Linked DNA regions of Saccharomyces cerevisiae S288C. The protein of the gene in region 1 binds, or shares a complex with, the protein of each later gene. Each region holds a gene or a part of one and is shown in the gene's direction. Other genes may lie near its edges. The genes, in order: FIS1 and MDV1.

Evidence for each region.
Region 2: the proteins of FIS1 (region 1) and MDV1 are in contact, whole or in part, in a crystal structure (PDB 3UUX), measured with the Saccharomyces cerevisiae proteins. Residues at the interface, in NP_012199.3 of Saccharomyces cerevisiae: Val4 (codon at 1,738), Asp5 (codon at 1,741), Phe6 (codon at 1,744), Pro8 (codon at 1,750), Asp12 (codon at 1,762), Glu15 (codon at 1,771), Leu17 (codon at 1,777), Gln21 (codon at 1,789), Ile24 (codon at 1,798), Leu25 (codon at 1,801), Gln28 (codon at 1,810), Ala37 (codon at 1,837), Thr38 (codon at 1,840), Ile39 (codon at 1,843), Gln40 (codon at 1,846), Ser41 (codon at 1,849), Phe43 (codon at 1,855), Asn44 (codon at 1,858), Trp47 (codon at 1,867), Lys51 (codon at 1,879), Arg59 (codon at 1,903), Val62 (codon at 1,912), Lys63 (codon at 1,915), Thr66 (codon at 1,924), Tyr69 (codon at 1,933), Lys70 (codon at 1,936), Ala72 (codon at 1,942), Glu73 (codon at 1,945), Ser74 (codon at 1,948), Arg75 (codon at 1,951); in NP_012423.1 of Saccharomyces cerevisiae: Asn95 (codon at 2,287), Lys96 (codon at 2,290), Phe99 (codon at 2,299), Arg100 (codon at 2,302), Leu102 (codon at 2,308), Thr103 (codon at 2,311), Tyr104 (codon at 2,314), Ile105 (codon at 2,317), Ser106 (codon at 2,320), Asp108 (codon at 2,326), Leu109 (codon at 2,329), Asn111 (codon at 2,335), Glu112 (codon at 2,338), Ile113 (codon at 2,341), Pro114 (codon at 2,344), Glu145 (codon at 2,437), Thr146 (codon at 2,440), Ser147 (codon at 2,443), Leu148 (codon at 2,446), Phe149 (codon at 2,449), Gln150 (codon at 2,452), Gly151 (codon at 2,455), Phe152 (codon at 2,458), Lys153 (codon at 2,461), Tyr155 (codon at 2,467), Leu156 (codon at 2,470), Ala159 (codon at 2,479), Gln243 (codon at 2,731), Ser246 (codon at 2,740), Ser249 (codon at 2,749).

The regions. Positions count from the first base shown.
Region 1 is NC_001141.2:240,598-243,503, reverse strand, and holds FIS1 (Fis1p), read left to right. Parts: upstream 1-1,728; coding exon 1,729-2,196; downstream 2,197-2,906. Other genes in the region: YRB2 (Yrb2p), read left to right, coding at 1-743; EFM4 (Efm4p), read right to left, coding at 788-1,477; ribonucleotide-diphosphate reductase subunit RNR3, read left to right, coding at 2,796-2,906. UniProt on the Saccharomyces cerevisiae protein: Has a role in mitochondrial fission. Has a role in outer membrane fission but not matrix separation. Required for targeting MDV1 to the mitochondria.
Region 2 is NC_001142.9:203,301-208,208, forward strand, and holds MDV1 (Mdv1p), read left to right. Parts: upstream 1-2,004; coding exon 2,005-4,149; downstream 4,150-4,908. Other genes in the region: chaperonin-containing T-complex subunit CCT7, read left to right, coding at 4,577-4,908. UniProt on the Saccharomyces cerevisiae protein: Involved in mitochondrial fission. Has a partially redundant function to CAF4 in acting as an adapter protein, binding to FIS1 on the mitochondrial outer membrane and recruiting the dynamin-like GTPase DNM1 to form mitochondrial fission complexes.

The DNA.
Region 1 (2,906 bases):
GAAAGACCGTAGAATCTGGTATTGTGGAAGATGACAAAAAGGAGGATAAATTCGTGTTTGGTGCCGCATCTAAATTTGGAACTGGGTTTGGTGTTGCCAAAAAGGACACGAAAGATGGAGATGCAACTACCAGTACTGAAAGTTTACCAGCCTCTGACAGCAAAACAAAGAAGCCATTTGCATTTGGTTCAGGTTTATCATTTGGCAGCGGCTTCAACATACTGAAAAACAAAACAGAAAATAACTCTGAAAGTGAAAAGAAAGCTACTGATGTTGACAAAGATAAAGTCCATAGTGGATCTGAACAACTAGCGAATGCCTCAGAAGATACAAAAGACAAACCAAAACCCCTCAAATTGCAGAAACAGGAAGTCAAGTCTGGTGAAGAGTCTGAGGAGTGCATATATCAAGTCAATGCGAAGCTGTACCAACTTTCCAACATAAAAGAAGGCTGGAAGGAAAGAGGTGTTGGTATCATCAAAATCAATAAAAGTAAGGACGACGTCGAGAAGACGCGTATTGTTATGAGGTCTCGTGGTATCTTAAAAGTCATTTTAAACATCCAACTGGTCAAGGGGTTCACTGTGCAAAAAGGATTTACAGGTTCTTTGCAAAGCGAAAAATTCATAAGATTACTAGCAGTAGATGATAACGGTGATCCTGCACAGTACGCCATAAAGACTGGTAAGAAGGAAACCACGGATGAATTGTATAACATTATAGTTAAATCCGTTCCTAAATAAGTAAAGAGAAATAACGTTAAAAATAAATCAAAGATAAAAACAAATCAGTTTTGTTTAACAAATGCTACACTACATATGGTCGCACCCTGGACCCCGCCAAATTGGAAAACAGGGTATTTTATTGTTTTCCACATTTTCAAATTATCAGTCTCTATGATCTTTACTAGTTCATCTTGTGTGAAATTACAAGAAGTGATCAAGAAAATACCGTCTTTTTTCAAAATCCTTTCCACTACTCCGGCGTATACATCGACTACATCAAGTTTACCGTTGATCTTCATGCCACTCAATGAAATGGCATCTAGGGTCCCTTTATCCAACACAATGTCATACTTTCCCGGCTTCCAGTCACCACTAAAGATGTCTGCTTGCTGGAAACTGATGAAATTGTCAACACCGGTGGCCTCGGCTATATTACTAGCGAGTTTGACGCTTTCCTCAGAATAGTCTATCCCGACCAGTTTCCCTTGGAATTCCGTTTGATGCAGTTCAAATAACATGTGTCCATTACCTGTACCGAGGTCTACAACAGAAGCATTCTCAGAAATTCTGTACGCACCAATGTTATCTACCAGAAAATCAATCATCTTTTGTTCAGCATCGCTATCGCTAAACCAACAGTCCCCGGTATCCTGCGGATTCCGCCTGAAATTCTCCAGCTCCAGGGCATACAGTTCATCCCAGTATTTTTTCGTACCAAGTTTCGAAGTGCTCAAATCTGCCGTGCCCTGCATCTGTACTACCTTTTCGGGTTGAGTTCGTTCCATAATACCGTTCTTAAGAGCTGAGCTCATCGATTTTTTTTCACTTCTTTTCATGAACCAATCTTTTTGCGCATTTATGCCGGAACACCGCAAGCGGGCTAGGCTGGACCCCTTTCAAAGCAAAGCTGCCATTGCCACTATTCTGCACAGAAGTTATCATATACCTTGCGTAAAAACGGCACATAGAAGCACAGATCAGAGCACAGCCATACAACATAAGTATGACCAAAGTAGATTTTTGGCCAACTCTTAAGGACGCATACGAACCACTCTATCCGCAGCAGCTGGAGATTCTGCGCCAGCAAGTCGTCTCCGAGGGGGGGCCCACCGCTACCATACAGTCAAGGTTTAACTACGCATGGGGGCTGATCAAATCCACTGACGTGAATGACGAAAGGCTTGGTGTGAAAATCCTCACAGACATTTACAAAGAGGCCGAGTCCCGTAGACGAGAATGCCTATATTATCTGACCATAGGTTGCTACAAACTCGGTGAATACTCTATGGCGAAGAGATATGTAGACACTTTATTTGAGCATGAGCGTAATAACAAGCAGGTGGGCGCTTTGAAGAGTATGGTAGAGGATAAGATCCAGAAGGAAACACTCAAGGGTGTTGTCGTCGCTGGAGGCGTACTAGCCGGCGCTGTGGCCGTGGCTAGTTTCTTCTTAAGAAACAAGAGAAGGTAACAAGCACATAAAAAATCAGCACATACGTACATACATAAGAATGAATCGCACGCACGCGTAAACATTTATCATTTAATCTTCAGTTGTTAGATAAAAAAAAAAAGAAAAGAAAAGAAAGTGAAGGCTTGTTTCAGTTTGAACTAGGTAGCAGAGCAAGCCCTCGTTCTTGGCTGCTAATTTTCCTAAAGTAGTAAAAAAAGCCAAGTTATCTGCCTACGGTTGTCACAGCAACATTGCGTGCCGTTGTTCTTTTGTTTTTTTTTTTTTTTTTTTTTCGTGGTTGTCGCAGCAACGACACCTAGGCGCTGCTCAAAGGGGCAAAAACCCGGTTGCCATGGCGAGGACCAAACGACAAGATGGGAAAAAAACAATAGTCTATTGTTAAATCGTAATACTGTATTGTGAGATGCTGACGCGTTTCGTTTTTCGTGTCAGCGTTCTTTATATTGTTTCGTGTTCTGCTGCAAAACGTATATAAACGCACTGCTATTTTGCCTTCTTTTGCCTTCTTCCTTGCCTTTCTCTCATCTCATATCCAAGTTGAAATAAATATGACAAGCAAGAATAGCAGCAGCAATAAATCAAATACTCCCACACAAATGTACGTTATTAAAAGAGACGGCCGCAAAGAGCCCGTTCAATTCGATAAAATTACCTCCCGTATCACCCGTTTGTCATACGGTTTAGACCCAAACCGTATTGATGCTGTT
Region 2 (4,908 bases), on another chromosome or scaffold:
TATTTTGGCCTCAACAGACTATTGATAATTAATTAATGAAGTTCTAAACACACAATGAATATCTGTTGAAGTACAATAATATATCTTTAAGGGAGCATGTTGGAACGAGAGTAATTAATAGTGACATGAGTTGCTATGGTAACAATCTAATGCTTACATCGTATATTAATGTACAACTCGTATACGTTTAAGTGTGATTGCGCCTATTGCAGAAGGAATGTTAAACGAGAAGCTCAGACAATACTGAAGCTGTGTTAAAGACCTATTAGTTGAACATGTTATGGTAGGTACATATATGAGGAATATGAGTCGTCACATCAATGTATAGTAACTACCGGAATCACTATTATATTGGTCATAATTAATATGACCAATCGGCGTGTGTTTTATATACCTCTCTTATTTAGTATAAGAAGATCAGTACTCACTTCTTCATTAATACTAATTTTTAACCTCTAATTATCAACATATCAATATATTATTGAAGATTGGGTGAATTTTGAGATAATTGTTGGGATTCCATTTTTAATAAGGCAATAATATTAGGTATGTAGATATACTAGAAGTTCTCCTCCAGGATTTAGGAATCCATAAAAGGAAATCTGCAATTCTACACAATTCTATAAATATTATTATCATCATTTTATATGTTAATATTCATTGATCCTATTACATTATCAATCCTTGCGTTTCAGCTTCCACTAATTTAGATGACTATTTCTCATCATTTGCGTCATCTTCTAACACCGTATATGATAATATACTAGTAACGTAAATACTAGTTAGTAGATGATAGTTGATTTTTATTCCAACAATTATCATATACGGTGTTAAGATGATGACATAAGTTATGAGAAGCTGTCATCGAAGTTAGAGGAAGCTGAAGTGCAAGGATTGATAATGTAATAGGATAATGAAACATATAAAACGGAATGAGGAATAATCGTAATATTAGTATGTAGAAATATAGATTCCATTTTGAGGATTCCTATATCCTCGAGGAGAACTTCTAGTATATTCTGTATACCTAATATTATACCCTCTATCAACAACAGGATTCCAACAATTATTTCAAAATCCACCCATATCTCAGATTTCACATCAGTATTGATTAAAATATTAATTGCTACCAGTTCTAATAAATCTAATGTTTACATCATATAGTAATATATCTTTTGAGAAATGTGACTGGCGTTATACAGAAACCGAATTACACGTTTTAAATACTAATTATTAAAATTTATCCTGATAAGTTGATCTTTATTTCCGTACAGCACAACCGATAGAGGAGATGTTTAAAGTGTTTAAGCTCACTTTATAGGGTGAAACACATTTTGACGACCGTAAAAGGTCATTTGATTTGGTATTGAGGTCGAGAAAATATTTTCAAATAGTGAAGGATACATTAAACACGCTCACAAAACAACATAAAAATCCGTGATAGTTTAATGGTCAGAATGGGCGCTTGTCGCGTGCCAGATCGGGGTTCAATTCCCCGTCGCGGAGATTTTTTTTGGCCCTTGATGACTGTTCTGGTACAATTTCCACCTTGAATGAGGGTATAAGATACCGATGATATATATTCAGACTATTTCTACGACACAGAAAAACAATCGACCAAGCCGTCCTTGAACATGCTGCAGAACTTCCTTTTTTTTATTTTTTTTGGCTCATCTACGTAATCCTATTATCTTTTATTAAATTTTGAAGCTATGAGTTTCTTTCCAGCGACTTGGAACCAATAGTTGACAGTGAGTGCATACTTGAGTATTTTCCCCCTACATTGTACAGTCCTCCTCAGACCTGGTATCCCTGTTTAATGTGGTCGCTCATCGGACTTTTCCGTCCGATAGGAATTCGCTCAACTTTGACAGGCGGAACTACTTTCACATCGATTTTCTCAGGAAAGACGGCGTAAACAAGAGAAGAAATTAACTTTCTACAGAAAGTACAACCATATAAACCCTTCGTAGAGCTCCAATTAGTAGCAAATAATGACAAATAATGTCAGTGAACGACCAAATAACTCATATAGGAAAAACATTGTCCACAACGGCTTCCGCTTTTTTAAACTACCAAAAATCGAACAGCAACACTCAAGATGTACTGACCAATAATGGGCCTTATAAGAATTTATTATCAAATACCGTCAACAATGCGAGCTCAACTTCATACTTTTACAAGAGGACTGAACACGGTCGCTTTGTAAAAAATGCATCTAACACTTTTGAGGATATTTACTCCAAGACAAGAAGGGGCGATGTATTCAGGAACAAGTTCACAGACAACAAAACATGCTTCAGAATGCTCACGTACATAAGTGATGATTTGTTGAACGAGATCCCAACTAAGGAAGGTCTCAAAAGTGATGCAGATGGCAAGCTTCTAACCGAAGGAGGCGAAAATGAAAATCTCAGGAAGAACGCATCCAAAAAAGAAACATCGCTGTTTCAGGGCTTTAAAAGCTACCTACCAATAGCGGAGCTTGCCATTGAAAACACTGAAAGATTAAACTATGATACAAATGGTACAAGCGGTACGGTTGGTGCGAAAGATGTTATGTCTAAAACAAATGAGCGAGATGAAATTCACACAGAGCTTCCTAACTTCCAAGATTCATTTCTCATACCGCCTGGGGTAGAAACTAAAAAAATAAGCTCCTCTTATTCTCCTAGTGCATTAAAAAGTTTTTCTCAAACTCTTGTAAATAGTTTAGAGTTTTTAAATATTCAGAAAAATTCTACGTTATCCGAAATAAGAGACATTGAAGTTGAAGTTGAGAATCTGAGACAAAAGAAAGAGAAACTGTTGGGTAAAATTGCGAACATAGAGCAAAATCAATTACTATTGGAAGACAACCTCAAACAGATTGATGATAGGTTGGACTTTTTAGAAGAGTACGGATTGGAGGTGATCGAAGCTAATAGCGACGAAAATGCAGAAGATGATGGTATGAGTGAGCGAAAGGCCCTTAAAAATGATGCTATAAGAAATGAGGGTGTCACCACAGAGAGCATATCATCAGAGGCTTCTAATCTACCTCCAAGGAGAAGGCAACAACTTCGAGACGATAACTCATTGAATAGATTAGGTGCCTTTTATAGCAAATCCAAAAAAAGACACAGAAAAAGCTTCCCAACATTCCAGCAGCTTTACGAGCCAGGAACAAAAATTGGCTCTATAATGTCCACTCACGATGATTTCCTCACTTGCCTAGATTTTGATGCGCCCTTTGGTACCTTATGTACAGCCGGATATCTTGATCACACGGTAAAAATTTGGGATTTATCCAAACAAAACAAAATTGGAGAACTAGCAGGACATCTTGCTACAATTAATTGTATGCAAATCAATCGTGACTACGGAACTCTTGTTACTGGTGGTAGAGATGCGGCTTTAAAATTATGGAATTTGAATTTAGCTCAACAACTTTACCAGGAAACGCAAAATCTTACCTCTCCTACAAATCATATTGATTCTCCATGTGTTCATACATTTGAGGCGCATACAGATGAGGTTACTGCATTATCATTAGATCCTAGTTTCTTGGTGAGTGGTTCACAGGATAGAACAATTAGGCAATGGGACTTACGTTCCGGGAAGTGCTTGCAAACCATTGATCTGAGCTTTGCAAATGTCTTAACAACATCCACTAATGTCGATTTATCAAAGAGCACACTTCTTACTCAAAGAAATGAGAGGCCTAGTATAGGTGCACTACAAAGTTTTGATGCAGCGCTAGCAACGGGTACAAAAGATGGTGTTGTAAGGCTATGGGATTTAAGATCCGGAAAGGTGATTCGTACTTTGAAAGGGCATACAGATGCCATAACGTCATTAAAATTTGATTCCGCGTGCCTGGTCACAGGTTCATACGACAGAACAGTTAGAATCTGGGACTTAAGAACTGGGTTGTTGAATAAGTTTCATGCGTACAGTGCGCCAGTTCTTTCGTTAGATCTCTTCCAAGAGAACGCTGCAGTCGTTGTCGCAGACGAACCAAGTGTCCAGATATACGATAGCGAAAAGGATGAAAGCTGGTCTTGCGTCGAACAAGGTAACGAGACTAGCGTTAGTACCGTTAAGTATAAAGAAAATTACATGGTTGAGGGTCGTGAAAATGGGGACGTAAATATTTGGGCCGTATGATAGGCATTGCATTGCAATCAAGTCAACCCATTTGAAGAAAAATAAATATCGAGTGCATATGTGAATAGCTGCTCGCTCAGATATATATAAATAAATATTCGTTCTGGAATGTAAATAAAGTATCGTCAATACCTTGGATGGTTTATCAGCGAAATCGGTGCTGTAGATGTTGCCCTGTCATATTACTACAGATGTCTTGGAAGCAATCACCATACCTGCATTATCCTTACCCGGAAAAAGAAAACTTTCGTGAATAATGATTAATATTTAAGTGGCGACTTTTTCATCCTTGCTATTGAAAAAAAAAAAAATGAATAATTGTTATTAAGCGTTAGCAGATGCCAAATTGTCGAAATGATTTCAAATACAGAGAATTAGCCGCAAATATTAAGTAGTACCTGAATCACGAGACATACAACTCGGAAAAATGAACTTTGGAAGCCAAACACCTACAATTGTGGTTCTAAAAGAGGGAACAGACGCATCTCAAGGTAAAGGTCAAATCATCTCTAATATCAATGCCTGTGTTGCAGTCCAAGAGGCATTGAAACCAACTTTAGGTCCCTTAGGTTCTGATATTTTAATTGTGACATCGAATCAAAAGACTACTATTTCTAACGATGGTGCCACGATCCTAAAATTATTAGATGTAGTACATCCTGCTGCCAAAACTTTAGTGGATATTTCTAGAGCTCAGGATGCCGAGGTGGGTGATGGTACAACTAGTGTAACCATTTTAGCTGGTGAGTTAATGAAAGA